4 linked regions of the Caenorhabditis elegans genome follow. The protein of the gene in region 1 purifies or fractionates together with the protein of each later gene. This does not show direct contact. Each region holds a gene or a part of one and is shown in the gene's direction. Other genes may lie near its edges.

The links.
Region 2: the proteins of srb-15 (region 1) and hxk-3 fractionate together in Caenorhabditis elegans (co-fractionation; one large-scale study listed by BioGRID). This does not show direct contact.
Region 3: the proteins of srb-15 (region 1) and F42H10.2 fractionate together in Caenorhabditis elegans (co-fractionation; one large-scale study listed by BioGRID). This does not show direct contact.
Region 4: the proteins of srb-15 (region 1) and zig-6 fractionate together in Caenorhabditis elegans (co-fractionation; one large-scale study listed by BioGRID). This does not show direct contact.

What each region holds. Positions count from the first base shown.
Region 1 is NC_003279.8:6,894,807-6,903,760, reverse strand, and holds srb-15 (Serpentine receptor class beta-15), read left to right. Parts: upstream 1-3,141; coding exon 3,142-3,171; intron 3,172-3,214; coding exon 3,215-3,415; intron 3,416-4,046; coding exon 4,047-4,265; intron 4,266-4,308; coding exon 4,309-4,410; intron 4,411-4,453; coding exon 4,454-4,741; intron 4,742-5,835; coding exon 5,836-6,006; 3' UTR 6,007-6,026; downstream 6,027-8,954. Other genes in the region: Serine/threonine-protein kinase smg-1, read left to right, coding at 1-111, 198-302, 351-647, 752-1,104, 1,182-1,269, 1,345-1,505, 1,626-1,706, 1,780-1,877 and 2 more.
Region 2 is NC_003282.8:1,496,511-1,505,200, forward strand, and holds the start of hxk-3 (Phosphotransferase), read left to right. Parts: upstream 1-3,351; 5' UTR 3,352-3,365; coding exon 3,366-3,543; intron 3,544-4,328; coding exon 4,329-4,474; intron 4,475-5,660; coding exon 5,661-5,736; intron 5,737-5,800; coding exon 5,801-5,940; intron 5,941-6,900; coding exon 6,901-7,010; intron 7,011-8,690.
Region 3 is NC_003281.10:8,486,447-8,493,219, forward strand, and holds F42H10.2 (coiled-coil-helix-coiled-coil-helix domain-containing protein), read left to right. Parts: upstream 1-4,173; 5' UTR 4,174-4,198; coding exon 4,199-4,459; intron 4,460-4,515; coding exon 4,516-4,602; 3' UTR 4,603-4,658; downstream 4,659-6,773. Other genes in the region: LIM and SH3 domain protein F42H10.3, read left to right, coding at 197-295, 961-1,074, 1,254-1,447, 1,521-1,676; Splicing factor ESS-2, read right to left, coding at 2,010-2,373, 2,495-3,090, 3,154-3,327, 3,376-3,636, 3,691-3,891.
Region 4 is NC_003284.9:5,184,020-5,192,554, reverse strand, and holds zig-6 (Zwei Ig domain protein zig-6), read left to right. Parts: upstream 1-3,477; 5' UTR 3,478-3,589; coding exon 3,590-3,650; intron 3,651-3,705; coding exon 3,706-3,856; intron 3,857-3,908; coding exon 3,909-4,057; intron 4,058-4,108; coding exon 4,109-4,249; intron 4,250-4,293; coding exon 4,294-4,382; intron 4,383-5,399; coding exon 5,400-5,540; 3' UTR 5,541-5,639; downstream 5,640-8,535. Other genes in the region: T03G11.9 (MARVEL domain-containing protein), read right to left, coding at 5,932-6,077, 6,950-7,040, 7,096-7,170, 7,338-7,460, 7,509-7,594, 8,207-8,237. UniProt on the Caenorhabditis elegans protein: Probably not involved in maintaining the position of ASI and ASH head neuron cell bodies and ventral nerve cord axons of PVQ, PVP, RMEV, AVK and HSN neurons.

The sequences.
Region 1 (8,954 bases):
CAGGCACATCATTATGCTGTTATTCCACTTGGACCACGTTCTGGACTTATCAAATGGGTTGAAGGTGCTACACCAATGTTCCACATATATCGTAAATGGCAGATGAAAGAGGTGAGCATTTTATTTTTTATTATTTTTCCTGGGATGACTAAAAAGTTACAACAAACATAAATGAATAAACAATTGAATATTTTCAGAAAGCACTCAAACAAGCGACCAAAAAGAACGGAGAAACAGTTCCTGAAATCGAAAGACCCAGCAACATGTATCACAATATGATTCGTCTAGCATTCGCAGATCATGTTAGCATTTTCCAAAATTCAACTGTTTTAATTATTTAAAATTTTTAGAAAATCGATTCCTCCATCACCTCGGATCGTTCTAAATGGCCAGCAGAAATTTTGGAAGAAGTATTTGAAAGTCTCACAGCAAAAACACCAACAGATTTAATCAGTCGTGAGCTTTGGATGCGTGCGAATGATGCAACAACTTGGTGGTCGGTTACAAAACGATATTCAAGATCACTGGCAGTCATGAGTATGGTTGGATCAGTTTTAGGACTCGGTGATCGACATTTGGACAATTTATTGGTTGATTTGAAGTGGGGTCATGTAGTACATATTGACTACAACATTTGCTTTGACAAGGTAATGACTATGTACCTTTTTAAACAATGATAATTGGTGATTTCTCAACCTAAAACAATTAAAATTTAAAGATAAACATAAACTTCCAAGTATATTGTTTTCAGGGAAAGAATCTGCGTATCCCCGAAACAGTCCCATTCCGTTTGACACGTAACATGCGTCACGCTCTCGGACCATCTGAAATGTATGGTACCTTCCGTGAATCTTGTGTTCACGTGCTCTCAACTCTTCGTTCTGGTCATCAAGTTCTTACAATGCTTCTCGATGCATTTGTATTCGATCCGCTTGTCGATTGGACATCACATGAACATACAGCAACTTCTGGTGTCTCATTGGCACTACAATTGGCTGTTTATGGAAGTAATTGGAAGACAAAAGCTAAAGAAAGATTGACCGATGCGATGGAGTTACTCAATTTGAGAATGTCTGAGGTTCAAACCCTTTGGCTTGCAAATCGGTTAGACTTTCGCTCTTTTGAAAAAAATACATTTTTCTGATAGAAAATAACATCTTGTTTTACTTGTCTTTTTTCAGTGATGACCTTCTCCACTGGATGAAACAAGTGACCGAATGTCTTTTGATTGAAAATTCGATGCTTGGAGCAAATGCCATATATGCTCAGGTATGGGTCTCTTTCATTATATGCCATATGAACTATTTGAAGATAAAACCAAGTTAACCTATTTTATATTTTCAGCAACGTGTGAAAGCTGGAACGGAACTTCGTGAGGCTGTGACACGTCATCATGCACTTGCCAAAGAGCTTCGTCCATTGATAAGAGTAATTGGAAAGGAACGAGAAGAGTTTGCAGATTATTTGAAGTTTTACAAGCAGGCATTATTTGATCCACTTTTGAAGTTAGTTTTCTAAAAGCAATAAGTAACATTGCGAATTTTTTTAAGATTTAGTTGGTTTTTTTTAGATTTTAGTTAGTATAACATTTTTTATTACTGCAATATTAAAAAAAAAACTTTCAGAGGACACTCGGCTCTCCGTAACGAACTCGATATTGATACATGTGTGTACAATTTCAACATTGTCATGCAAAATATAGATAAGTAAGTTTTTGATTTTGAAAATTGGAAATCGAACTAATTCAACAATTAGATTCAATGTATAATATAATTTCAGTGTGTTTGGAGCACTCGTCAATCTGTCATTCACCCCGATTGAGACTATTACATCCCGTACTTCACAGCAAGAATTCAAACCACCTCCCGGACTTGAAAGTATATGGCTCATACCAGCCTTCTAAAAACTTTTTTTTTTTCAGATGTATGGGTTGTGAAACAAGATCAACAGGAGAATTCTCAAGCGCGTGAAGTTGTCCGACGTGTTGAACGGCGTCTCAACGGATGGCTCGATGGATCGGCAGGACCAGATAGGAAATTGTCTCCTCGCGAAGAGGTACTTTAAAAAATTTGGTTCGAAAATATTTGTGGCTAATATTATAGTTTTCTATATTTTCACATTTCACCATTTCCAGGCCGACATCCTAATCGCTGAAGCTACATCCACACCAAATTTATCTCAAATGTACGAAGGATGGACTGCTTGGGTCTGAACGAAAGTTGCCACGTGTCATAGTCCGTTCTACTTCTTCATAATTATCCAGAAGCATGCAACTTCTGTTTGATTTTGAAGTTCAGTTGATCAGGGCGTGGACTCACGATATTCGGGGATGTCTTGTATCACCTTCGTGATGTTTGTAATTCGCCGCTCGTTCAGCCTTCACATAAAACCGTCCTCCATCTGTCTCTTCCGCTATTTGTTCAGAAATCGTCAAAATTGGATAGTCGGACTATTTGACAGCTTCTGGAGCAATTCAACAATCGGTCTCCTCTCCCCAACCAAAAATTCTTTGACTTGAAGAGTCATTCCATTTCCAAAAACCACAATTTTTCTTAACAAATTATTCAATTAGTTGCATTCAACTCATACTCTCCCCCGATCACCACACTTTTCTCCAATATTCTTACCCATGTTTATGCCCTATTTCTCGAACTTCTAATACGTATTTTTTCATGTTTTTTTTCACACTACTCCCGGCCTTCTTCTGAATAGTTTTCCCCCGAAAGAAGACCATGCTTTTGTTTCTTATTTGGATATTACCTCGTTCCATACGCATATGGAAATGGAGATTAATAAAGGTTTTGGAATGGAATAGATGGTGATTTATTGAATTGCAAATGAGAATCTGTGAAGAAAAAGAAAATAATTTAGCCTACTTCCTGATCACCTGGAGAATTTCTTCTGATCTTTCGCCTACAATATAGTATACATGCGATTTCTGCAATTTCAGCCAACTTTCTAAGTTTTATGGGAACATTTGAGAAAGCGGGAAAAGGTTTTGCATGCAACAAATTATTGAACTATGCACTCGATGCGTGTCTCTATGGTTTTATTGCCTAAAATAATTTATTAACCAATTCGAGGAAGTTGAGCCAAAGAGCATTATCACGTTCTATTTTCTTGAAGCATATGACTTGAAAAATGACTGAAATTTCTGAAATTTGTGAAACGGTTAGTCCTTTGCTGCTTTTTAAGAACTAATTTTCAAATTCAGGCGTTCAAATTAACGTATCATCCAATTTATAGAGGTTCTTTATTTATTCATTTATTTGTTTCAATTTCATCAATAATTCCATTAATCTATTTTGTCATTTTCAAGCTTCCAAAAACAAGCTTCCATGGCAATCTTAAATTCTTATTCTCTGCCTATTTTGTATCAGTTTTCTTGTTTTCTGTGGATTTTGCCATTATCTCGGTAAGTGAATCAGAAATTAAAATGATTTTTTTGTTTCCTCAAACGTTGAAGTTTTTTTGTTTATGAACTTGTTGAAAGTGAATTTAGTTGGGCATTATAATTGACCGACCTAATAACATAATAAAAAGCACTTCAACATTTTTAGATATTTCAAAAGTACCAACCAATTTAAGTAAAGTGCCAAACTTTTGCTCAACTAAAAATGTTTAAATACAAAAATTAAATTATGATAAAAATGATAAAACTAAAATCATTTTTTGGTTGACTTCCAAAATTATGATCTTTAAAAGTTTGGTAATTATCATTTTCTTACAACAATTTCCGACATTCAAAATGTTTTGTAAACTGTTTATTAAGCACCATAAAATAATTTTGAACGTTTTTCAACTGGCAATTCTTCACTTTTAAGCAAAAATTCTGAAGTTCCGAAAAAGCTACATTTATGCGGTAGACGGGCATGAAGGAATTCCCGCCTGGTTACCTGATTTGGCAAAAATTAAACCATTTCTTAATTTTCAATCATTTATTTCTGGCATTTTTGCTACGGCAATATTTGCAGATAGACCAACAGTTCAAATATATGTAGATTAAAAGTTATTTATATTTTTAAAATTACAGCTATTTATTTCAGACGACTGAAATTTTAATTCCACTATTCTCAAAACATCCATGTAATTTATTGATACCTGATCAATATCTAAAAATCGGGAATACTACCGTATCAATTTTCATGTCTCTTTCCACATTCTTTCCTATTTCTATTACAATTGAACGATTCATTGCAATGAAAATGGCAAGAACTTATGAGAAGACACGTGTACGACTTGGTCCAATACTAACTGGATGTAATGTAAGAACACTTTATTTATTCTGAAATATAAATCTTTTTTCAGATACTTCTTGATTTGCTTATTGTGTTTTTTATTTATCGAGACGAAAAGTTTGATGATGGATCGATTTCCTTTGTGTTCTTTCCTAAAACTCTTGCTCCAAAGGTCTCTAGATCAAGTAGTACGATAGTTAATAAAAGACTTTTAGATGTTCACATTCTTCTGGGTTATGTTCTTTCTGAATTTAATCAATTTTACATTTAATTCATATCTCCTTCGACAAAGTATTCGATTAAAAGTCTCAACCAGTTCCCTTGCAACAAAATATCAACGAGAAGAAGTCGTTCATTCTACCAAATTTGCAGTTTTTGTAGTATTTTGTCATGTAATATTATTTGGATTTTATGTGATTGGAATCATGATTCTTAGATATTTTGGAAGTATTTTTATTCCGGATCCAGCTGATTTGATGGCAACAAGAGGAGCTTTTACTACAGTAAGTAGGGATCTATAAGAGTGAAGAACTGATTACGAAATTGTAATAAATAAGAAGTTCAGAGAAAAAGGGGTTTCTTAAACTAAATTATTCTAAATATGTAAATTTAAACATAGTCGGAGTTCAAATATAAAAACTTCTCTAATTTTTTCCGAAAAGTTCAAGCTTCTCATAAATTTGGCATTTTACCAAAACTTGGAATAAAAGGTGGAGTAGCGCCAGTGGGGAAATTGCTTTAAAACACGCCTATGGTACCACAATGACCGAATATCATGATTAAAAAATTCAGAAAAAAAAAAAAAAAAGATTTTTGAAAATTGAAAAAATCTCATTTTTTGCCTAATTCCTATTTGAATTACCGCCAATTGGATTTGTTCGATGGAGCGCGCTTGCACGTTTTTAAATTTATTTATTTTATTTATTGTTATTTTCCACCAATTTTTAATGTTTTCGGTGTATTTTTGCTTGAATTTTAGAGAAAAAGTCAAGATAAATGCAAATTTTCGATTAAAAAGCACGCTTGCAGGCGTAAATCAGTGAAATTAATTAATTCAGGTTCGAAATCGTTTAAAATCGTTACTTTGTCATTTTTACGCCTGTAAGCGTGCTTTTTAATCGAAAATTTGCATTTATCTTGACTTTTTCTCTAAAATTCGAGCAAAAATACACCGAAAACATTAAAAATCGGTGGAAAATAACAAAAAATAAAATTAATAAATTTAAAAACGTGCAAGCGCGCTCCATCGAACAAATCCAATTGGCGGTAATTCAAATTGGAATTAGGCAAAAACTGAGATTTTTTCAATTTTCAAAAAACCATATAGAATTTAGAAAATTTTGTTTTATTTTTTTATCATGATATTCGGTCATTGTGGTACCATAGGCATGTTTTAAAGCAATTTCTCCACTAGTGCTACACCACCTTTAACACATATATGAAGTTTTTCGAGTGTTTTGTTAAGAAATTCAGTCATTTTGGGTTATTATTCCTGTGTTTACATGTTTAGACATAATATCTACAGGAACTACTCCACATTTAAATGATATAATATTTATTTCCAATCAATGTTCAAACATAAACAAAACAATTTCAGATGATATCCTTATATAATCTTGTTGTTGGGTCTGTTGCAGTCTATTTGAATCATTTGATTAAAACTCGAAAATCTGAGGAAATAACCGGCACTGTTCGAATTCAAGCGACAGGAGCTGTTGGAGCACAAAACTACGAGAATGCAATATTCAACATTTGGAATTCTGTTTAATTTTGATTTATGGAATAAATTCATTTACTTGTTCCAGTTTTAAAAAATAAAGTAAAGTATACAATTTTTCAAGTAATTTGGTACTTAAAGATATGCTGCAAAAACCACCGAGTTGGGCAGTTATTAGTTCGTGAGTTTAAATATTTAACAAAATATTGGAATAAATTTGGATTACTGTAGTAGTAGCGTCTCAATAAATGCACGAAAAATTTTCGGTTACCGCGCGTGCAACAAATTTAAAAAAAAACCTACATTTAGTTGACCCCAACTTGTACTATCATTCACATTTACACTCGACCCTCACACATACAAACATCTGGTTCTAACGACATTCTCTTCTCATTTTCTTGAAAATTTATTTATTTTTGTCGTTTATTCCGTTTCCTCTGTTTTCTGTAGTTTCCGATGTTAAAAGAAAAAGTTGTATTGTAAATTTTTGTTTTTCAAAATATTAAAAATTCGGAATACAAAACCATCTTCTAAATCTCGTAACAATGGTCCTTGACCGGTGGTTCTCTCTCTTTCACAAAACATTTTGAAAAAGGTCATGTTGTAATATGAGGACTTTTACTGTAGTAGTGACACGTGGATGAGTCATATATTTTCTCTAACTGGCACTTTACACTAACCGGAACACTTTTTTGTTTCTTCCGTTTTTTGACACATTGATTTTTCTAAAGTTTGTTGAATAAGTTTAAATACTATTCTTGCGACTTGATCTCGTAATTAACTTTTTATCGTTATCACAAAGTATTTACTTATTACTGGTCCAGAGAGTGCGAAATGTTTTTTTCTTAGCTATGGCTAGACTGAATCAGAATTTAGATTGAACAGTTTTTCCGTTTTTCATCGATGGGAACTCACCCCCGTTAAATAGTTGCAGCCATGTTGTATCTAAATGTTCAATTCCTTACTGTAACTTGGAATTTCTTAATTACGAACATAAGATTCTTTCGCGTTTTCCTTATACTGTGGCAAATATGACCTATTGAGTGTGATTAAGTAAGTCCGATATCCCACTAGGTCACCTTGAATTTTTGTAGTTTACCCATAGCCTCAGTGTTCTGTTTGAATCGAATGAAAACCCAATTGCATTGAAATCGTTATGTTATGTCCCATCATGTTTCCAGCTTCTCCTAACAAATCCTTTAACCGTGAAATAAAATCTTTTTTCCTCTCTCTCTTCATCTTCTTTTCCAGTGTTGACATGTGTTTCAAAAGGCAATATAAACGGAGAGAGGGGATATTGGGTGTCTTCTTTTTCTCTTCAAAATGTACCGCCCACTTTTCCATTTTAATTAAACACAACTCGTTTTGTGTGTCAAATAGAGTATATGGGAAGAACGAGAGATAAAAGACGAAAAAAGGATTCATTTTGAGAAAAGGTTCTTGACATTTCCGGACAATTTTAGCAAGTAGACTGACACATTGCTTCCTCAAGTGAATACCGTAATCCTCTTGGAATTTCAATTTAGATGCACTTAGGATGCTCGAAATTATTTTGATCTCTATATCGCACAAGCGTTTTGCAGAAGTTCTTTTTCTTTAAAAAATCGATGCTCTATGTTTTCCTGCTCAGCAGTTTAGAAATTTTCAACCATTTTATTGTTCAAAACGTTCTTCACATGTTATCAATGTAGTAAACTTCATTTATGCTTGATTGAGAAATTTGGTTCGGTATCCAAAAATGAGATTTTTGAGAAAAAAAAGCCTAAAGAAAACCCAAATTTTGAAACAAATTTCCATATATCGAAATTTTGTGATTTTATTACCCAAGAATACGGTGCCCGGTCTCAACACGATTTAGATTTTTTGGAGAAGGATGCAAAAACAGAATGCGCATTTGAACCAGGAGTATGAGAATTTTTCGGTTAAATACCCAAAAGAAAACGGAGAAAAAATAAAAAATCTAAAATACTTCTGACTAATCTGGGTATTTTACTGCAAATCCGCATTCACGCACCTTTAAGGACTAGTGTAGCATTCATTTTTTATAGACTTGCAATTTCATTAAAATTTCATGTTTTCAAATTTTTCTGTCACTTTCCATCAAAACCCTTTTCTATCGTTATTGATTAGAAGATTTTGTTCTAAGTTGAGCTAAACTTTTATTGTCATTTTGGTGAAGAATTTCATCGGATTGAGTAGAGGAGATACATCCGTTGTTTCGTGTCTATTTTATGGGTTTCCTCTCTTGTTGTTTGAGGAATGAGTGAATGAGAAAACTTCTTGGTGGTTGAAGATTTGGATCTTATACTCTTATTTTCAATCTGATAGAATTGTTGTCTAGGGCTCCAAGTTGGATCTTTGAGATATGCCGAACGCTAGCAAAGCTTATGTTTAAAGGTAAATGTAGGCGTGACTTTCTTCAATGGAAATTTCTCAGAGAATCATCAACGAGAGGACTCCGCCTTTTATCGGTTCATATCTGAATTTGACATCTTCTTCAGTTATTAATTATTCGAAAGCTAATCGCCCAATAACATAAATGCATAGCTTTTTGTAGTCAATTTTTAGGTTCTTGAACATGTTCGGACAGAAATACAGAGAAATTTTAAAATTCTTCTATTTCTTACAAACAATTTATGTGCAATCCTTGTCGTGGACGCAACCTCAAAGCTGATTTCTCAGCTAAACAAAAAATCAATTTTTTTTTGAAAAATGTTTGAACATGAAATATCAGTTCTTTGTTTATCTATTTTTCAAATTATTTCTTTATTTAGTAAAACCTTTCAAAGAAAGTACGAGTAAGCAACACATTTTCTTTTAAAAAAATAAAATTAATTTCTCCAAAAAACAAATGGTTTTCGGGCCATATTCGCTCACCGACCCCCAAATCGGGTCTCGAGTCGATTTTTCTGCAATGGAATAATTCAATTATCTTCTCAAAAGATAAAATATGAAAATTATAATCAGTGCGAGATAATTTCATATGCAAATATCGAGAT
Region 2 (8,690 bases), on another chromosome or scaffold:
GACGTCGTCAGCGCAATTTTTACGATCATTTCTTTCTGTCATGATCATCAGTTTGATTTTCTAGCGTGATTTGGAGGCGAAAATCAATAAATTATAATAGTTTTTCGCTTATTCCTGTTTTAAAACATGTTTTCTATATTTTTATTGAGAAACTTGAGATTTTTAAAAAGAAAACTTTAAAACCCGCTTGTATTTTTGCAATTATCTTATTTTTTTCAATTTCTTCGCTGAAATACTTGAAAAATTGCAATTTTTGCTGAAAATAATTCCAAAAAGTGTGCGCGGCAAGTAAAATGCATTGTACGCAATTGCGTATCAATGCATCTAACCCGACGCGCAGTTTCAAGGTTACTGTAGAACATTTTGTTTTTTTTTGTGTTTTCCCCAATTTCCAGCCGAAAAACTCGAATTTTATGTGTTTTCCAACGTTTTTTAAAATGTTTTTTTTTGTAAAAATTTTAGAAAGTCAGCAAAGTTAACGTTTCTATCGAAAAATCCAGTTAAAAATCAAAAAATTATCGATTTTTCGGATTAATTTGGAAATTCAATCGAAAATGAACTATTTGAGGAAATTCTGGCAGTTTTTGCGGAAAAAAATTGAAAATTGACAGAAAAGTCGATATTCTAACAGAGTTTTCACGCAAAATCTAAAAATGTTGAATTATTTTTCGATAGAATTTCGGGGTTTTAAAAATTTTTAGGACAAAAATCAATAATTTCCAGAATTTTTTTGAAAAAAGTTTCGAAAAATAATAGTTTCAAGAAGCATCAAAATCGTAAGTTTCAGTTTTTTTCAAATTTCCGATAAAAATCCCCAAAAAGTAAAAAAAAATTTTTTTTTGAAAAAATCTGTTATTTGTGCCGAAAAATCATTAAAGCAAATATAAGAAAACTATTATTTATCTAAATTCTTATAGAAAATCCAATTTTTTTTATAGAAAAATCAAATTTAAAGAAAAAAAAAATCAATAATTTCCCCCAAAAGAATCCTGCCACCCCAAAAATTATCAACAGAGCACAATTGCATCATATTCCATAAAAAATATCATTTGGCACACTGCCAAGTCTTCATCACACCAACATCTCTGCACTCTCCACATCTCTGAACCCCCTTCTTTCAGTGTCTGCGTCTCCACACCCTCTACACTCTCTCACCCTGGCTGAGGTCCTCTTTCTCTTCAATTCTGCACGTGCGGACTGCCCTTTTTATTGTTTTTCTCCTTTCTGCCACTTGATTTGATAGATAAATTATCAAAAAATCGATAATTTTAAATTTTTTGCGAGAAAGTTGGAAAATTCCAGAAATTTTCCAAAAAAATCCCTGTAAATTTGTTAAAGTACATAGTTTTTCCGAAGAAAATCGACAAATCTCGGAAATTCGAGGTTTTTAACCGAAAAACACTGCAACTTTTTCCTCACGAGGGACGAGGAATAGTGGTAGGGGCCGACAAGTTTCAGCGGTCATTTATCTTGCTTTGTTTTCCGCCTGTTTTCTTTTATTTTTTCACAGATTTTTCCCGTTTTTTTCTTATTAAAACTGATAAATAAATATTTTTTGCAGATGCTAAAACAATTTCCAAGTTAAAAAATTGTGTATTCAGTCGGCAAGTAGCGGTGAAAGTGGGCAATGCAATATGATGGATTACGGGAATACAAAACCTAAACTTTTTCTGAAACATGATACATATGCTGCTTAAATGCTGAAATTACCTGATTTTCATAACGAGACCGCTGAAAAAGTTTTGAGGTTTTCAAAATTCAATTTTTTGTGCGAAAATCTCGACTTTTTTACCAAAAAAGTTGAATTGTGGAAACCTCAAAACTTTTTCAGCGGTCTCGTTATGAAAATCAGGTAATTTCAGCATCTAAGCATCATATGTATCATGTTTCAGAAAAAGTTTAGGTTTTGTATTCCCGTAATCCATTATTTTACATTGACCACTTTCATCGCTGCTTGCCCACTGAATACATAATTTTTTTACATGGAAATTGTTTTAGCATCTGCAAAAAATATTTATTTATCAGTTTTATTAAGAAAAAACGAAAAAAATCGATGAAAAACGAAAGAAAACAGGCGGAAAACAAAGCAAGATAAATGGCCGCTGAAACTTGTCGGCCCCTCGGCCATGGCCTAGAAACCACTTTTCCTCGTCCCTCGTGAGGAAAAAGTTGCAGTGAAAAATAGGCATTTTTCAAATTTTGAACGTTTTTCTTTTTAAAAAATTGTTTTTTCGCACCGGAAATCTTGAAAACACGCTATTTTTATAATTTTTTAACGATTTTTTTGCAAAAACTCAAAAATATCAATATTTTCACGAAAATTATTTTTTTTTAAACAGAAGCTTCGGAAATCTCAGAAAACAATTTTTTCCACAGAAAATCGTGAAAATTCGCTATTTTGTAGAATTTTTGCAATTTTTTACCATTTTTCTGCAAAAACTCAAAAAAAAATTAATGTTTTCCCGAAATTTCTAGAAAAAAAACGTATTTTTCTCAGAAAATTTCGAGAAATTCAAATTTTAATTTTTCGTCGTTTTCGCTTGACATTTTACGCATTTTTACCGAAAAATTACTAATAAAACACACAGTTTTCCCAAGAAAAATACAAAAATAACAAATATATTCGATTTTTTTTTGAAAATTTCAGAAAAAACTTACTATTTCGAGGAAATCCTGAAAAATCCAATATTCCGGCACTTTTTTTCCACAGAAGCCAAATTTTAAAAAAGTTTCTTTAAAAAATTATCAATTTTTGTCTAAAAATGGTTATAAAAGTTTTTTTTTGGAAAAAAAACCCTATTTTTACCGAAAAATCACTGAAAAATGCAATAAAATGCATAGTGTTCCAAAGAAAAATACAAAACTGACGAGAATTCAATTTTTTTTTCGAAAATTCCAGAAAAAAAACTCCAAAAATCGACGAAATTCAGTTTTTCCGGCACATTTTTACCAAAAATTTCGATTTTTTCTTTCTACAAAAATAGTAAATTTTTGTCTGAAAATTGTTAAAACTACCTATTTTTCATTAAAACAAATACTGATAATGTAGAAAACAACTTTTTTTTTCAAAGAAAAGTTTCAAAAAAATCCTATTTTTCCCCGAAAATTCCAGAAAAAAACCTAATTTTCACGAATTCTCATATTTTTTTTCCACAAGAAATCCTGAAAAATCACGAAAAATTCAATTTTCCGGAATTTTTTTTTCCAAAAAAGTCAATTTTTCTTAAACTTTCTAAAAAAATTGCCAATTTTCTCTGTAAATCGGTTTTTGAAATTAAATTTTTCTTAGAAAACCCCCTATTTTTCCTCAAAAAATTCAAAAAAACCTTCCTAAATCCCAAAATTTTACAGTAATCTCCACAAAAATGAAGGTTCTACCACCAGAAGTCGAGGAAATCCTCGCGAAATTCCGTTTAAACCGTGAACAACTTCAAGAAATCAGCGAAAAAGTGGAGCAACAAATGAAAATGGGTCTCGCAAAGACTCAAGGCTCATCGATTGCAATGTTGCCGAGTTATGTACCAGCGTTGCCAGATGGAACAGGTAAAAATGCAGAAAAATGGAAATTTAATGAAAAAATCTAAAAAAAAAACATAAAAAATCGTCGATTTTAGCCAATTTCGAAAAATCCCAAAAAACAAAACTGATAAAATTAATCAAACATTTCTGAAAATCGAGAAAAAAACCATTGGAATTTAATTAGTTTAATTAATTAAAAATCGTGAAAATTTACTAAAAACGACAAAGAAATTCAAATTTTGCTTTGAAGATTCAAAAGTTTTACGAATTTTCATGGAAAATAGGTAAAATTGAAAAAAAAAACTAATTTTAATTGTAATTTTATAGAAAAATCTACGAAGTGGATTAAAAACTCTAAAAAAAATTGATTTAAATGTGAAATTTCAGAAATTTTGTTTATTTTTGATTTTTATTGAAAAAAGCTGAAAATCGAAAAAAAAATTCAAAAAATTGCGTAAAAAATTATAAAAATATATTAAATTCCTTGAAAATCAGGAAAAAAGTCGAAAAATTAAGTTAAGACTTACAAAGTTAGTGCAAGTTTAAAAAATTCACTGAAGTTTGACAAATTTTACAGAAAATCGCGAAAAAAATCGCTAAACATTTGTTAATGCAATAATTTTACTTAGTAATTCCGAAAAAAATCATTATTTTCATGAAAATTTGCCTAAAATCTCAATTTTTAAAGAATTTCCTAAAAATGTCAAAAAAAAATCTGAAAAATACTATAAAATTTAACAAATTAAAAAACTAAAATTCAGAAAACTTAATTTTTAAAGGAAAAATCAAAAACATACAAAAAATTCCAGAAACCGGAAAATACGTGGCAATCGATTTGTCGGGAAAGAATCTTCGAATAATGTTACTCACAATGAACGGAGCCGGAACGACGCCCACGCATGAAACAGTCAATTATATAGTAGCTAATCATGTTATGAAGGGAACCGGTGATCAGGTAAGCAAAATTTGTGCGAAAAATTTGAAAATTTCCGAAAAAACAGCTAAAAACACTGCAACTTTTTCCTCACGAGGGACGAGGAAAAGTGGTTTCTAGGCCATGGCCGAGGGGCCGACAAGTTTCAGCGGCCATTTATCTTGCTTTGTTTTTCGCCTGTTTTCTTTTGTTTTTCACAGCTTTTTCCCGTTTTTTCTTATTAAAACTGATAAATAAATATTTTTTGCAGATGCTAAAACAATTTCCAAGTTAAAAAATTATGTATTCAGTGGGCAAGCAGCGGTGAAAGTGGTCAATGTAATATGATGGATTACGGGAATACAAAACCTAAACTTTTTCTGAAACATGATACATATGATGCTTAGATGCTGAAATTACCTGATTTTCATATCAAGACCGCTGAAAAAGTTTTGAGATTTTCAAAATTCAACTTTTTCGGTGAAAAAGTCGAGATTTTCGCACAAAAAGTTGAATTTTGAAAACCTCAAAACTTTTTCAGCGGTCTCGATATGAAAATCAGGTATCTTCAGCATCTAAGCATCATATGAATCATGTTTCAGAAAAAGTTTAGGTTTTGTATTCCCGTAATCCATCATATTACAATGCCCACTTTCACCGCTGCTTGCCCACTGGAATACATAATTTTTTCACTTGGAAATTGTTTTAGCATCTGCAAAAAATATTTATTTATCAGTTTTATTAAGAAAAAACGAAAAAATCGATGAAAAGCGAAAGAAAACAGGCGGAAAACAAAGCAAGATAAATGGCCGCTGAAACTTGTCGGCCCCTCGGCCATGGCCTAGAAACCACTTTTCCTCGTCCCTCGTGAGGAAAAAGTTGCAGTGAATTACTGAAAAAAAAAGATTTTGGATTCAAAAGTTCTGAAAATAAATTTTTTTGGCAGAAATTCAAAATTTCTGAAATTTTTTTTTAGCAAGAATTTCAAATTTTCTGGAAAAAAAACATTTGGTGGGAAATTCAAATTTTCTGAAATTTTTTTGGCAAGAAAACAAATCAATCATCAAATATCGAAAATTTGAAAAATCTGTGACGTCACAAATTTTCAAAAAAACATTTCCCGCCGTTTGGAGCTTATGGGACAACAACCTGACACCAAATTTTCAAAGTTTCAATTCAAAACCCCGACTAAAACGGGCAAAAATTGGCGAAATTTCTCAACTTTCAGCTTTTCACATTCATCGTCAATTGCCTCCAACGATTCCTACAAGAATTCGGACTAGTTGATGCTAATTTACCTATTGGTACGAACTTTTTCACCGAAAATTCCGATTTTCCTGGAAAAAATATTAAAATATGTCTTTTCAGGGTTCGTATTCTCATATCCATGTGAACTATTGTCAATTCGTTCGGCACGTCTTTTGTGGTGGACTAAAGGGTTCGATATTAAGGATTGTTTGCAACGGGATATTGTAGCTCTATTGGAAGAGGCTCTCGAGATGAATATGGTAAAAATTCGATTTTTTCTTGAAAAACTATCAAAAAATTTGAAAATTTGTCCTTTTGTGATCACTAAAATCGGAAACCGTAAAATTTTCGATTCTACGAAAAATAGCTTTAAAATTTGGCAATTTTTCTTACGGTAATAAAAAGTTTTAAAAATGCGTATTGCACAGCATATTTGACGCGCAAAATATCTATCTCGTAGCGAAAACTACAGTAGCTCTTTAAATGACTACTGTAGCGCTTTGTTGTGGAATGGGGAGCCGACATTAGCTGCGCGGCGACTCAAGCGACGGCAGGATACGCAGCCTTTGGACGCCACCACTTCAGTCTTGATGCTGCGCTCGTGCCGAACGGTCGTGCGTGGCACTTCTCTCCCGACGCATCCCCCATTTTCCTTTGTAATTGCCCCTCACTATTATTCATGTACTTGCTCCGATATCCAAGGAGAACCCGACAAACTCCAATAACCAAGGAGTTTCCAGGCCTTCCCCCTACTTTATCCTCTCTCCCTCTTTTATTGTAATTCTTATAATTACTATATAAATTAATATATTTATACATTTGTTCTGTCACTAGCTCTATATTCAAGTCTCCTCGAGAGCAAGACCACCGCATTCATCCGCACTGCCAGAGGGCTCCTTCCAGACTATACATAATCTTTCTTCGGTCTCGAGTCACTCTTCGTTACGGCTTAAAGGCTCGGTCGCCGCCTCCGGGTGCCACAACACGCTTTTGTCGATTTATGGGCTCCATTTTTAAAGTGAAATCACCTATTTATCGATAGAATATTTAAATCAAAGGAAGCCCGTAAATCGACACACAACAGCGCTACAGTAGTCATTTAAAGAATTCTACTGTAGTTTGATATTTTGCGCGTCAAATATGTTGTGCAATACGCATTCTCAGAGAATTTTGAGTTCCCGTAATAACACAGTTTAATAACAAAAAACACTCGATTTCAGTCCACAAAAGTGAGCATCAAAGCAGTGATGAACGACACAGTAGGACAGTTGGCTGCTGCCGCACACAAATATGGTCCAGAATGCACAATTGGGGTGGTTATCGGTTATGGGTAAGGATATTGCTAGGTTGCTAACATTTTGCTCCCCCATTTTTTTATTACAATTTATTATTACCGTATATCCTCTAGGCAATCTATCCCATGCTCACATTTCCCATGCACACATTTCCCATGCTGACATTTTCTCCCGTGCATACAAAATATTCCCATGCTTACGCCCAGTAGTTCGAGTACTCCCATGCCTACAACTCATTTTTTCCCTTTTTTCCGTTCCCATGCTGACATTCTCATACATACATTTTTTCCGGTGCATACAAAATTCCCATGCTTACATCCAGTAGTCGAAGTACTCCTATGCATACACCTCATTTTTTCCATTTTTTTTCGTTCCTATGCTGACATTCCCATACATACATTTGTTCCCATACTTACAAAAATGTATTCCCATGCCGACATGGAACAGTTTTGTGCTCCAGAAGAGCACAAAGTCAATTTTTTTGCTCATTTTCATTGTAATAGGCTTACTTGACAGCTTTCAGTTACAACTGATCGCTTTTTTTTCAAAATGCATTAGTTCTCGATTATGAACAAGGAATCGAAGAAAAATGGGGATGACTGCCTATAGAGTAAAATTTTTTTTTTGAAAAATTTTTTTCTCTCTATTTTGTAGGATATAATTAATTCGGTGAATTCCACAACTTCAAATGTTCATATTGCTGTTTCCGTGCAGTTATGAGTTTCGCAGTGTCTTAGGAACATTCCATTTTTTGTTGCATTTTGTAGGAAATCGGAGCTATCTTATAATTTCTACAAATTAGAAAATCCATTTCGTACTATTTCATGTAACTTGAACCTATTGCTTCAAAAATAGCACAGAACGAATGTTGATTCTGTTTCTTTCATTAAAAAATGTGCTACTGTGCATTTTTTCCCACTTCTACGACTTTAAAGGCGCGCGAATTTTCGCGCAATAATCTCGCCACGCGCATCCCATTGATTTGTTGAGCGCTGGCGAGACCAATGACGGGACCATTTTGTATAAATGCGCGCGCCTTTAAAGTCGTAGAAGTGGGAAAAAATGCACAGTAGCACATTTTTTAATGAAAGAAACAGAATCAACATTCGTTCTGTGCTATTTTTGAAGCAATAGGTTCAAGTTACATGAAATAATGCGAAATGGATTTTCTAATTTGTAGAAATTATAAGATAGCTCCGAATTCCTACAAAATACAACAAAAAATGAAATGTTCCTAAGGCACTGCGAAACTCATAACTGCACGGAAACAGCAATATGAACATTTGAAGTTGTGGAATTCACCGAATTAATTATATCCTACAAAATAGAGAGAAAAAAAATTTTCAAAAAAAAAAATTTTTTTTGAGCAAAAAAAAATTTTACTCTATAGGCAGTCATCCCCATTTTTCTTCGATTCCTTGTTCATAATCGAGAACTAATGCATTTTGAAAAAAAAAGCGATCAGTTGTAACTGAAAGCTGTCAAGTAAGCCTAATACAATGAAAATGAGCAAAAAAATTGACTTTGTGCTCTTCTGGAGCACAAAACTGTTCCATGTCGGCATGGGAATACATTTTTGTAAGTATGGGAACAAATGTATGTATGGGAATGTCGGCATGGGAACGAAAAAAAAGGGAAAAATGAGTTGTAGGCATAGGAGTACTTCGACTACTGGATGTAAGCATCAGAATATTTTGTATGCACGGGAGAAAATG
Region 3 (6,773 bases), on another chromosome or scaffold:
ACTGTTAAAGCTTAATTTTCCTTTCAGTTCGATTTCTGATCATGACTATTATTTTTCTATCTATTCAAATCCTACATTAACCATGACAAACTGATTTTTTCAATAAAGAATACATTTAATTAAAGAATTATTTCCAACAAATCAATCTTCTCCATTTTTCAACTCACTTTTTTTTTCCACTAACCATTTATTGCAGCTCCAATCTCTCCAATGAACCATCAATCATATTCGGCTCCAACACAAGCAGTAGCCGCAAATACGCATTTGATCTACTCAACAGAGCAAGGTGGAGCAGGTTAGTTAGCAATTGAATTGATTAATGAGCATCCAAAAAGAGCACCTTGTGTATTGAAAAACTGATTGAATGCCTATAAAAGTTATTGCTGATTTTGTTGCTGATTTTTGTACGGATACATTATTTGACCAAAAATTAAGATAATGCTAGGTCTCAGTCTAAGCCTAGCCTAAGTCTAAGCCTAAGCCTAAGCCTAACCTCTTAAAAAGTTACAATAAGGTTTTTCCTTGCGCTTGGAGCGCAAAAGAAAAGAAAAAGAGCTATTTAGACTTAGGGTGCCCAACTGGAATAAAATATAGGAAATCCTTATGACACACTTAAGCCTAAGGGCCCGAAAAAAAACTAGGATGCCCAACTGGAATAAAATATTGGAAATCCTTATGACACACTTAAGCCTAAAGGGCCGAAAAACATACTAGGATGCCCAACTGGAATAAAATATTGGAAATCCTTATGACACACCGGCGGTATGGCGCGGCTTCAGCCTAAATAGCCACTTTTATCGCGCGTCAGTGGGGGAGCTAACGCTCCCCCACTGACGCCAAGCCTAAGCCTTGTCTAATTTATGGTATCTAGTTATATAAAGTCCAAATTTTTCGTTGTGCTTCATGTGTAATTTTCTAAAAGCTTTTGTGTTGTGCATTGTTATTTTTCTTCGCTTTCAGTATCTCCAACACCACAAAAATCAATCGGAAGTATTGCTGACTATGATCCAATGAACGGACAATGGGGTACAGCTGCTGCTCAACCGAGAAATTCCGAGAAACTTGGATATTTGAGTAAGGATTTTGTTTTTTTTTTTGGCTTTTGTTTGAATGATTTGCTCATTTGTAATCCACACAAATTTTTTGCACGTTTTGGTACTTATTAATTCGTTTTGTGGAAGAAATAATCTTTTAAAAAGCTCATTTTGAATAATTTTGATCTGTCATTAATTGAAACTAACCGCTTGTTGCAGAGGCTCAAGTGGATAAAGGTCCGGCAAGATTTTGTGCGGATTTTGCAGGAGCTCCACCTCCATCATCAAATAGTATATCTTCAACATCTCCACATTCAACACTTTCTTCTCCACAAAGCACAATTTCACCGACTGGAAAAGCTGGATTTGCAGTTAAGGCAATTTATGATTACGCTGCTGCTGATAAAGACGAGGTAAATTTAAATTAGGTTTTCAACCAGTTTCACGATGAAAATTTATTCAACCATCTAAAATATTTGATTCCAGATTTCATTCCTCGAAGGTGATATCATCGTGAACTGCGAGAAAATTGATGATGGATGGATGACAGGAACAGTTCAACGAACTCTTCAATGGGGAATGCTACCTGCAAATTATGTTCAACCACATAAACTTCCTACCGGATTGCACCGACTTTCTTAATATTTCCAAACCCACGCACATTTTCTATCTCTCCATGACCTGCTCTTGCTCACACATTTCCCCTAAATGCTTCAATTATGCTTCAGGCTTCTGCAGTTATTTTTTCAACTTTCTGAAAATCCCACAAACGGGTTCTGTTCACCTTCTGAATGCCTTTTCTCCATTTGTTTTTCAATCTTCTAAAATGTTATATGGTGCTGAAATTTAAAAATTAAAAATTATAATAAATGAATTTACTATCAATTATTAGGCCATTGTCATAAATAATAAACCGTGTCTATAAGGCACATGAGAACAAAATATACAGATCTAAATTATACTAATCTTATAATATTAGAAAAAGTCTCCAGCATTTGCTCTATCTGCAGCTCCGGCTGATGTTGAAGGTCCGACGTTATCCCCTTTTCTTCGGATCATAGATTCAATCCCAGGTGTGCCAGGAGTTTGTGCTCCTTGGCTCCAAGATGATCCAGGTGTAGTAGAACCACGACTCCATGCAGAACCAGGAGTTGTGGATCGCTTTGAACTTGACGGTCTTGACCAATTCGACATGATTTTCGGCGAGGCGAAAGGAGATTTGTGAGCAGGTAACATTTTTAATCCAAGCTTCTTGGTTGCCAACTTTTGAGCAGCAGGAGATAATTGTGCAAGCTTGTCTGAGACTCGCTTGGATCCAAATCCAGGTGTTCGGCTGAAACTTTACCAAGTTGAAAATTATTTGAAGTACTATTATCTCGTTATAGATTTTAATACCATAGAGAAATATATTTTATAACTTGAAAAAATAAACAATTTTTAATTGAAAAATGAAAACTCACTGAGCTCCTTCAGCTGCTCTCATCGCAACTTTTCTCTTGTCTCTATATTTGGCCGCGATTGAATCATTCATAGATTGTGCAATTTTCTCCCGATACGGAACCTCTGGTATCTTGAATACAGGCGCCGCACCAGGCAACGAATGCTCTGTAACGTCAGGCGCATCAAGTCGGAATGGTGTTCCATCAATTTCTCCCCAAGTCATAAGAGGAGAATCCATGTCGTCAGGATTTGGATTCGGTGTTTCGAGTAATTTGAATGAGTTGGCTGGAGTTACTTCATTTCCCAAAAAATCAACTTTTCCGGCATTCGCGAGAGCATGGCTCACTGCTGCTCGAGTCATAGCTTCGTCGCTAGGCTTCAATTTTCCGGAGTCTGGAAACCTAGTGCCACGTTTATTTATTTCAGTTTGCTGTTTTCTAGCTGCATCTGCAATCTCTGCAGGTGTCAGAGCTGCCCCATCCGGATTGAAGAGTACAGTGTTCCATGCTTTGTATGCCCAATTGTCTACATTCAGAGGTCTATTGTCATCAGCATCTACAGCATGTTTTAAAGCCAACTGCACGTCAGCTTCAGCAGCAATTGCTTGTCGAGTCACCTGAAATTAGATTAAGTTACGAATTCGACGATATCAGATTTTATTCGTGAAAGAATATCTTACAAGGTTTTTGTTATGCTCTTCCTCGGCTTTATAAACCCAAGGACGACGTGCATCTTCTCGTTCCCTCATAACTTTCGCCAATTCCTCGAAGGAAGCATTGTCTTCTGATGTGTATTTGTTGAGATATGACGTTAAAGTCTCTTCTTTCTTCTTTTTTCGTTTCCGATTTAACGCCTGAAACTCTGCGAAAGATAGTAATGGATTGAAAATCATAAATCTAACCTCATTATCTCCTTCCTCATTAGCAAAAGGCATTGGAGATTGCATCCAATCATGTGCACTCGAAGTTGAAGCAGATGAAGGGCCCGGTGTATCTGCATCGAAAGATGAAACATCAGGAGCCTCAGTTGTCGAACGAGTTGTTATTGGGGTTCTGAAGCTTCTATCGGTCCGCACACTTCCAGTACTGCAGAACTTCATTTGAAGTTCTTTTATTTTATTAATGTCCTTATTTGCAACAGCCTCCAAATACTCTTTCTGTGCCTGAAAATAGAACTCATTAAAACAGTAAATATTTATAAATAATGATTATTTTACCTGCATTTTCTTGAGATGTGGAAAATAATCTTTTTCTATAATTTTATCAAGTCCAGCAATGTACTTCTCCTCGGGAACAACTTGGCGCTCAATTTTCTTAGTAACTAGGGTTTTCTGTGACAATTTCACTACTTTTCCCTCGTTTATTGATTTTGGCACCATCAGCTGAGCTCGCTCGTCATTTTTGTCGAACGACGACATTTTTCGAGTTCTGAAAATTTACAAAATAAAATTAAAAGCACTATTTTAAAAAGAAAAAACCACGAAAATTAGAAAAATAAAAGAAATTGCGAAATTTTATAAAAAATCGGAGTTTCGTAGTGCAAGTTGTTTAGCGCTCTCGTACGTAGTCCTCGTGGACAATAAACTTACTGTTAGAATTTGTTTTCTTTCAAAGATTATTTGATTAAATACATAACACTTCTTGTCCGTAAATTAATATATTTGATTTCTGGTTAATTTATCTTCAAAAACATTAATTGCTTTCAGAAAAGGTGATAATCTCGAAATGGCTTCAACAAAAGATGAAGTTGTGAGAATGAGCGTCGATGAGTACTGGGAAGATATTAAAGACGATTATCTTATACAACTAGCTAACACGGACCCTAATGAAGTCTATCCAAGCAATAACCCCGGACCAACAACTGCTGATGGCCAAATCAATTTTGAATGTCACTGTGTCGGTCATCTTGTTGGAAGCCCTTGTGGATTCGAGTTTCGGGAAGCGATTACGTGCCAAAAGACCAATAGTGATGGTGAAATAGAGCAGGTAACAATTATTTAGCTCTAGAGTTCTCGAAAATAAATAAATAATATGTATTGTAGGGAGCTTGCGGTAAGGAGTTGATGTCGTTCATGGAGTGTGTCACACGAACACAGTGTTTCGGTACCGGTGACAATGATAAAAAGTGATGATTCAATTATAATTTGTTCATTTTGTTAATTTATAAATAATTATTGTTTAAATACTGTTTTGTAATAATTATACTGTATTTTGTGCATTACAAAGAGTATTGCGAAACGTTTATTTGCTCTCTTTTCTTTTCATCTGTATATCTTCGAACACTCCTTCATTTTTTGGTTTTCTTTTCGCTGTTCGGATGTTCCTTTGGCCGGCTTGAAGTACTTTTCATATCTATTCTCCTTTTCCACTTGAAGTTTTAGTTGCTGTGGAAGATTCGATTCGGCCATCAGTTGTCAGGCTTAAATATGGTAAAAACGTTGCAGATCATTAATCGGCGGGAAGCGGGAATTTTGCATATTGTAGGAGAAGAAAGTATAGACCCGGTTTTACGGTAAAGTTCTTCTTCGCTTTAACAAATTGCTTCACTTGTCATACTTACGCTATTTTTGTAGGGCGCCAATGAAAGAATTTAGCGTTTCGAGTTCATCTATCAATTTGTATTTAAATTCTTGTGATTTTTGAGTGAGCATTGTAAGAAAAAATGATACTCAAATTCTCCGATTGGGTCAGATCAAATGATTTTCAATGTATTATAAATATTTTTTCAAGATCTCAATAGACGCCTTTTGATAACATATCCTAATCTAAATATTCTAATACCATATATCAAACAAAAATATCATGTTGACAGGCTGGATAGAGAGATTTTATACAATTTAAGAGATTCAGAGAAACGGGTGTCGGTTGAAGTGTAGGCTTTTCCCCTTAGTGTTTGCGCGCCCCCCTTCGCAAGCAGTTAGAGACGGTAGAAAAAGGGAAAAACCGAGAAGCTACTTGAAAATGTCTCGTGTTGAGAAAGGAAAAGATCGAGTCAAGAGAAGCAAAACTGGGGAGATATCAGCTAAATATACTCCCAGAACACCACTTGATATGAAAGTAGTAGTTTCTCTGTGAATTATGAGTGATTTCTGTGTTTTCCAGTGTTTTTTCGGCAGGTACAAGTCCAAACAGCATATTACGATGTTTAAAAAATATATTTTGCCTCAAATCGTACTCACCGGTTAAAGAGACATGACACGATTTTCCTTCATGGGTCTCGCCGCGAAATAAGTAAAGTAGAATGTTCCTTTAAACTTCGGGTACGGTTTTGAGGCAATATCGATTTTTTCTTCTTTTTTTGTTTGATGCTAAATAGAATAGGTTTTTCGCACCTTGAAACTGCAATTTCATGTTTAAATGTGTTTATTAGTTTTTTATAAATTTCCTATCACCCTACAAGAACAAAATTCATGAGCGCATTGAGAGAATTCTGAAATTTTTCAAAGATAAGATTTTTAGTCAAGCTCTCTTACATGCTCCTCTATACACTGATCAGTTAAAGTACTTTATCTGGTTTTTGTAGCGAGACCTGTCAACAGTGATAATTTAACTACCTCTCCTAACCCCCTCGAGATATGCGCACCCGCCTATTTCCCTCACTATACCCAGGTCGTTTACGTCCTCTTATCCGTCTGCGTTTCTTCTTCTCCACGCTCTCTATTCCCTCTTCTTCAATTATTTTTTGCAACCAGTTTTGCATCGTTCCACTAAATGGTACAAAAATTATTTTTCATATTTTTTGCCGTTTAGTTCTTCTTCTTTTCATAATTATCTTATCACCTTCAGAGACACGATGTATTTATGTATTTTGGGACTATCTTTGGTTCAGGGTGGGTTTTTTAACGCGCCAAAGTTGACAAAAGAGCTTGTTTTGGGAATATTGGCACACATCTTGGGAGAAATAAGACGCAGAAAGATCATGAATCGTATTCTTCTATTTCCACAGTGAGCTCCGTTTTTAGACAATTTCAGTGTGTGAGTAGTTTTCAAGGTTTCAATTTTTTTAAAATCTAACGTTAGAAAATGAAAAATAAAACAACTTCTGAATACTACATTGTTCAAGGAAATCTAGAATTCGAAGCAAATCTGTCCATTGTTTCCAAGACACACAAAAAAATCGGTTCATAATCCTTTCCATCGCCCCTTCTGATCATCCTTATTTAGGATTGGTTTACCTCAACCACCATGCCAATTTCATCGCATCGCAGTGTTCCTAGTCATTTTCGATGTGGTAGTTTCGTTTTGATCGGTCCAATTTAGTCTCTTATTTTCCTACTTACCAGTCACAATACTACCGACA
Region 4 (8,535 bases), on another chromosome or scaffold:
AACAAATTTTGTAACTTTAATCATTATTATAATTAAAATTTCTTTTTTTTTAATCATTATTATAATTAAATTTTCTTACAGTTCAAATTTTTACACATTTTGATGTCGAATGAACAAAAATACTGAAGAGAATTTTTGACAAAAAATGAAAATCAGATTGACTTGAAAAAAAATGCATACATACATAACAACCCAGTTAAAAGTTTAGAACTACCTGCATGTAGTATTTGCAAGTGCAAAACAAAAATGAGAGAAATGAAAAGGCTGCTCAAAAGCAGATGTGTTCCGCTCTCTATTCGATTTTTTGCTTTTTAGCATGTGCAGCTATGATTTAGAAAACTCATTAAACGTTGAAATCAACGAACCAAATAAAATTTAGCAACTTTAGGCATATTGAAGTAATATTAACAAAATCACAGGTGGATAAGAAAAATGAACGCTTTTGATACCTGTCTGCTGTAACAAAAAACAATTTAGAGGGAGGGAGAGGGAAAGAGAATTTTTGCAATGATTCGAAATCAAATCTCATTTGCCAATCTCTCTATCTCGCATCTCAAATACCTGACGAATGAGATGATCGTCTATTAGTTGATCATCACTGCAGACGAAAAAGTGTACGAACTTGCACCGAGTACAATTTTGAAAATTAGTTTGAATAGTTGTGCCATAGGAATTGTAGAAATTAAGAAGCCAGAAGTGTCGGCATTACCAAAGTGACACCTTAGAGTCGTTTTGTGTGTCAACTTGGGCTCGATGAAAGTCTTGTGTAGTAAACATCGACGATGGCACGACATTTATTAATGAATGCGGACGGTCGTCAGTTGTTCTTTCGTGGACGTCCTTTAGCCGTCATGATGAATGTGTGTAAAAAACCTTTCAGCCAGTGTTAAGAACAAGAGTCGAGAAGAGGTAGCTTACGTGAAAAGCTCTAATGCAACGTCGGTGGCTAAAGATTGCTTTTTCCGTTACCACAAGAACAACTTCGTTGTAAACTTGTCAGATTTTCTGAACAGGGATCGCTGGGTTCAAGAACAGATACGAGTTGGAAAACATCATGAGAAACGTTCTGCATTTGCAAGATTGTTTTCTACACGACGGGACAACACTCGATAACCGTAAAATTTATTGCAGGTTCGGAGGAGTGTGACCTCCCGGAGCATTCTTTATAAGCCCACTCATTTCTACCAATCTACGAAGAGTTCATAAAAGCTTTATGGGAACTTGAAGAAATTGAAGAAGTGATGAATTGAAGAAAGAAAAAGTGACAAAATGCTTGAAGCATTATAGTTGTAACTTCAAAATTCTTATAAGAAACTGTAGCTTCCGTTTTTCTGATTGTATTTATCAAAACTTTAGTTGATACATAAACATATGTATAAATTGTAAGTGACTGAGATTTTCAACTGATGCCTACGTTTTTTTTAAATTAATTTAAGATTATAATTTTTAATTTAAGTCCGAAAGACCGTTATAATAATGTTTTAAAATTTGTTTCACCATTTCCAGTCATTTTTTAGTCTGTCATGATTGAAAATAATTGACATGCATTTCTAAAAATGATAATTGCAGAGAGGCTCTATCTCGGAAGTGTGAAAAATATTTAAAGGACCACAAAACTTCAAATATTTTTTTGTTTCCTCCAGAAAGTTCGACCTTTATATATTCTTATCAGCAAATATAAAAACATGTAATTTGAAAGTTTGCTCGTTTTTAAAATCAAATTTGAAAGGCTTTTTAAGAACCTGAAAAAATGTGAAAAATGACGTTATATGAAATGCATTATCGTGTGGAAAATTATATACTAATATGCATTTGTATAGGGTTTCTGAAAGTAAAAAAAGTTAATTGTTACTGATTACGTTGAAATAAAAATTTTGAAGATCCAATGACTAAAAAAAAGTTTAAAAGGATGATCGTTTTTAAGCATTAAGCTCTGCGGATTTGGGAGTTAACTTCCTAATGGTGCTCCCAGTGGGCTTCTTGGGCAAAATCAAAAATAAATACGCTATCAGGCCAATTGGGCATTAGACTTGTGCAGCTCAGTGCTGTTTTGTGCCAATCAGTGTCGCTTTTTGGGCGCACTGGCCCGCGCTAGAATGGTAGATTAAACTGTCCACAATCTCTCCAATTAAAATAATTTTTACAGCACTTGTTCACGACATAGTGTACGATAAGTTTTAAAGTTGATTTTTTCAGCTTATTTTTTCTTGTGATAACATTTTAATTAGTGAGTATTAAAAAACTTTCAAATAGCTTTCAATTTGAACAAATTCCAGACTGGTAGTAAGAAATCTGCTAGAAACTTTACTTTTTGGCTCCATTCTTGTAAAAATTCAACTCAACTTAAATTTGAAAATGTAATACAAAACATTTTTTTTGATGTCTTAAAACTGGGAGAAAAATTGTCAAAAAGAAGACTTCAATAACCGATTTAAACTGAACAATTTGGAATTGAACAAAATCTTTTTAGTATCAACCAGTAAAAAGTTACTACTCCATGATGCTTGCGCACTAGAATTTTTCAGTGTTCAACATTGCACGCTTGTTTCGCCTTTAGCATTCAGCTGATGGATCAAAATTTCAATAACTGCAAATTAAACTATTTTTTACAATTTTATGTTACCTAGCTACTTGAAAAAAACTTTTGATCGCAACCGAGATATTTTTTTGAAGAGAAAATACGAAAAATCTAATTGGGAATAACGAAAAGAGCTCAAATTATTTTTGTACCAAAAGTTTTTCAATTTTTTTGAAATTACATGTGATTGTTTTTGTATTTGAATTTTGTTAGGCTTAAAAAAATAATTTCTAAATCTTAGTTAAAATAGTATTGACATAATGGTTCACGTGCTGATCTGAATGAGAATTAATCCTACATATATAATGCAATAATAATGTATATGTTAAAAAATTAATAAGAACATCACACTGTCACTGTTTCTTAAATTATTGTTCAACATATTTATATTTTATTAGTTTGTTTAATCGGCAGGCGTATTTAAAGTTGAATAATCGAAAATAAATTATGAAATAACTATTTTTCGCAATATTAAAAACTATTGAGAAATATTAACTTTTTCGCACTTCTTGCCTTCGGTATTAAAATTTTATATATTGTTGTAAATATTCTGAAATGTATTTCATTTACAGTTGTCAATCATATCAAGTTGTATTGGAATAAGTACCTTGCAATAACTGCAAATTTAAAAGTTTCTCACATTTAATTCATGATGTTTGATGATTTATTTTCAATAAAATTGTCCTTTTTCCAGACTATCATGAAGTGCACAAATCACTGAGCTTTCTCATTAAAAACATCAGAACAATTATCCAGAGTTAATAGTCTCCCTCAATCACCTACATCACGTTTTTCAAAAGACTCCAGCCTGTTTAATAGCCTTCGGCGTTCTTTTAATCTGAAAAAATAGCGAGCGAGATGAGGAGGGCAGTGGTGGTAACCCAAGCCTCGAGTATTTTACAAGAATGAATCTTACTGACACCTGACGAAGCCTTCACAACAGTCTCTAGTAGCGGTGGCTACTATCATTTGGACTAGGTTGTCTCCTTGAAATTCTTCCTTGAAAACAGGATGACTAAATTATGTCTTTTACTTTTACCACTAGTTTTCCTAGTCTCTTATTCGTTTGCAGGTTTGTTGAAAAGAAATTTAAAAAGTGTTATTATTCATAAGAATGAACATTTCAGAAGAAGAAATAACCATTTCCATTAGCCCAAATGCAAACCCAGTTCAAAAACCAATTGGTCACCAGATTTCTCTTGTGTGCTCTATTAAGAAGACTGATAGTAATGGAGAAAAACCAGGAATGATCTGGAAGAAACATGGTGGACTAGACCGGTATTTCAAGATCCCTATTTTCCTATTAAATATAACCCAGCTAATGTTTTAGAACTGGAAACGTCGAGGTCAAAAAACTAGACGACTACACTCTCGGACTTATTATCAGAAATTCCAGTGTGGAGGACAGTGGTGTGTACTATTGTCAAGCTCAGGTTGGAAGTAAAGTATACATGAACAAGATGGATGTAATCGTTTTTGGTAGGTCTCAATGTTTGTCGAGATTTTGAAAAAATAATACACTTTTTGCAGAGGACATTGTCTTCCGAGACAAACAACTTCACTTTGGTCAAGTTCTAGCGACTGCTTCGGTTAATATTTCATGTGAGGTATCCGCCAAGAAAGACAGTGTCATAACTTACTGGACTCGTCACGGGAAGCAAATCCTGGAAGGTTTGTCTTGAGGAAATTTGTTAGTTGAAACAAGGTGTTTTCAGGTGGTAAGCACAAGTTCTACAGTAGAGGGTCTATTCTGGAAATTCAAAATTATCAACCAGAACAAGACGCAGGACAGTATACATGCGAGGTAAACGAAAAATATAGGATAAAAACTTGTAAATTATCTTAGAATGGGCTTAGATCTAGGAATGACAGCCACTGAGCAAAAAGATATAAAATTACCGTAGTCTAAGTCATCAAAAAGTGAGACAATGGCGGCAGCCATCAAGGGTAAAATTTATGAGTTGCGTCGACAAAAGGTGCTATTTAATTTTATGGTAATTGTAGGGAAATGTTCTTTTGTGTGTAGAGCTGGTAACCGACAGATAAATACAGATAAACCTTATCAGTAAACTGTGAAACTTTTATCAAAAGAGAAGTGATAGTTTTTTTTTGAGAAAAAAGGAAGGGATTTTTGACAAAATATCTCGGTATTTGGCGCTTAATTTCGGCAAAATAAATCTAGCCATAAAGTTGGCGAAGTTTGGTTTTTTTCTTGAATGCTACTTAACCAAGTTCAATATATTTGGGCAAAATTTTTGAAAATAATTTTTTCTATGAATATAAAGGGAATTGAAAGAAGCCTATTGAGGTGCTTCGAGTTTTTCAAAAAATTTATTAAAAAATTACGGTTATTTATGATCTTTGATAACTACCCAGTATAAAAGCAGCGTATACGTTGTAAAACATTAATATTAACAATGTCTTTGTTCGAAACTTGTCACAGAAACTGGCTAAGTATTGCAATTATTATTAAAATATTGTACATATTTTGTTTGTCACATAAATATTTTTATACAAAACAATTCTAATGTGATTTCAAAACACAATGGGATAACATTTTACCAAACGTAAGAGATAAACATTTTAATATGATAACATTTACTTTTTTGAACACTCTAGTTTGTTGAATATTTTTGATTTATTTTTTTTTGAGGTAAAGAACTTTTCAAAATTCTAATTGCAAAATTTAAAAGTAATTAAAAATTTAAAAAAAAAGAAAAAATTTTGTTAATTTTTTTAAGTTTTCTATTCCGTCATTATAGCTTATTTTATGTTATTTAACATTTTGAAAAGTTAAAAAAAAACTGTTTCTTTATTATAGGTGTTCCATGTAAGCAGCGGCTCATCAAACACAAAAACTGTGACTCTTGGAACCACAGGAGAGAAAAACTACGTGGCATGCCAGCAGATGTGTAACAGTTTTTGCACTGATGTTCACAACAAAGTATTTACCAACAACTAAATTTTGAAGTGTATTGATTTTTTTCTCATTTTATCATTTCAAACATTTGAGTCACTGGAATAACTTTGATTCTTTTCAATAAATTATTATAGCTAAAAACATTTTTCTGATCGTGTTCAACGCAACAATATGAAAAAAAAACACGCTAATAGAAAGAAATATTGAACAAATACGGCATTTCTCATGAATGTTTTTGTTTCCAGTAACAAAAGTTCCCTACAAGCTCACGAGTGCTTGGTTGAACGCAATTTTTTTCCCAGGACTGTATGCATAATATATATTCTCGTACGAATATTTTATGCTACAACAAACATAAAAGTTGGAAAAAAAATAATAAAATATTTCATTGGTCCAAAAAACAAGACGAGTATCATCATGACGAGGTTGGTGTTCACTCCCACATACATCTTTCACCACTGTCCGGATAGATACCTTCGGCTTTTTGCCGAAGGTAGTGATAGCATTTGGTGGCAGCCCATATGGCGCCTATACAAATTACGATTCCCAAATATATTGATATCACCATTAACATTTGATCTGAAATGTAAATGAGATTGCGGGAATATGTGGCAAAGAGATTCAGTTGGATACGATGTTATACATACAACTCCGAACAATTCTTTTATTATTTTTTTTTCAATTTTGCAAAAATTCAGATGAATGATGCAGTACTCCATTTTCCAACAAAATTAAATGGCCTTTCACAGTTTGAAAAAATGTAATTTAGGATAATACAAAAACTAATCACCGAGAAAAAACCAGTTCAATTCGCAACAAAAAAAAAACGGAAAAACTCAAAGTAGCGTAGGCTAATAAGCCATTTCATATGTTTTGCTGAAACAATTTGAATAAAACTCATAAAAATTGCACAAATGTTAATAACTATAAAACTGTACAACAATTAAAAAAATTATTTTAATTTTGAATCGTTTTATTTAAGACGTTACAGTAGATAAATCAGTTAAGCTTGTAAAAAGCTGGAAACAATAACTCTGCTAACTTGAGAAAATCGAATCAATTGAAAAAATTTTTAAAGTGACCATTACCACCCGTTTTATGCTATTTAAAGCAAATTTCTATGAACGACCTTTCAAATTTCAAAAATCACGAAAAAAAACCGGAGAAGAAAAGAAACTCGATGCAAAATCAATAACTGGGAGGAACCTGATTTTTATTTTCCGGTTTCAACGGGTTCATTTTGGTTTTTTTTAACATCTATTTTATGCTGATTTTTCATTGTTTTGACTGTTATTATTAAATAAGCTGTCGTTAAATTCCAATTCAATACTTCATCTTGTCATTCGAAATTATTTAGAAACATGGGCTATGAATTTCATTTTTAAATAACAATCCGACTTTTCAGTTAATCCTCATTCCCAATATTTCCAAAAAAAATTCTGAAATCATACCAAATTTTTGATAAAATTTCTGCCTTCGAAACACAATTGTATAGTAGAGAACATAATTGGCAAGAATGAAGAAACAGACGCATTGCGTTATCTTAAAAACAGCAATTAGTCTTCAGAAATGTCAAGAAATCGCAGAGAAAACTCACTTCAGAAACTATAAATGGTACAAGTAATGAAGCCTTGTCATAATAAAGACCAAACATCATGAGAATGGCCACAACCTGCAAAAATCGAATATTGAAAACAATTTGTTGTTTGAAAAGAGAAAATACATACTGGTGAACTTATATTTATTGCACTCAAAAAAATTGCAATTTAAAAATAGTGGTTGCAATATAATTGTCATAAATTAAGTTAAAAATTCATAAATAAAAATTCGAAAACATACCGTATTCGCAACAATCAGAAAAATATCTAGCCATAAGTTGACAGTGTAAACACCGAAAAACATGCATATTGTAGAAAATAAACATACTACAAGTGCCGAAATCGACACGTAGAAACAAGCACGCTGAAAATATTTCAGTTAACACAAGTATTCTTTGAACAACATACTTACTTTAACGTGCACATCTCCTCTACAACACTTGTAAGAGCTTCCGTCGTCCTCACCCCCAATTTCATCCTCGAGAATTATCCGAGTTCCTGAAATGGATAACTTTTTGGAAACACTTTAATTTGTTTTTCTTACAATGTTGGATGAGCTCAAAGTGTTTGAAATCCGCGGGGACGGTATAATTTTCTAGATGTATCATCATAATGTTTAAAAACTTGATAATTTGAGTAAATTTATGTTTGCTTGTAACTTTTAATCAATAAACCAGGTTTCAGCCAAATAATCGTCGTAGATTAAATAATCCAATGCGCAACTTTTTATGCTCAAAAAATCGTCTTCGAATAATGTTCTACTGATTTTTTTAAAGTTTTACATCTAAGTCATGTTAATAAAAAAATTATATAAGTTTAACTTTTTTTAAGGTAAAAAACAAGCAATACTACATACAAGAGTAACTCTTATCATTGTTTTTTTTGTGACGGGGTATTTTTTTTACCCTTTATTACAGCTATTCACATGTTTCAAAAATACTCAGAACTGTATTCACTGTTTAGTCCGATAATTAAAATCAATTATAGGCCCCGTCTATATCTTGGTTTCTCCACGGATTTGAATCAAACTTTCTCGTACTTTTTGGAATTTTTTTCGCATTGACGGTGTTTTTTTAGCTAACAAGTACACTCCAAAACATTTGTGCTCACCTTCAAGACAGAGGCAACAGCTAATTTCCATCAAATTTCATCACAGCGCCATAGATTTGACTCGTCTGGGCTGGTTGGATGGAATGACGTAGAGGTTCTGGCTGGTCCAATATCTACTCTGGAATAAAAAAATATAACAAAAAGTCGTCATCTATCAAAGAAAAGAAAGAAACGCGTTTTTCTTCGCATGAGCCTTCGGAAACTTGAGATCAGCTCACAGTTTCGGGCAGAAATGTGAAAAAAATCGCGTGAGAAAAGGAGGAAGAAAATTTTTGAACTATTTTCTTTTTACTATATTTTCACTAAAAATATTTTAAACTTTTCCAGGA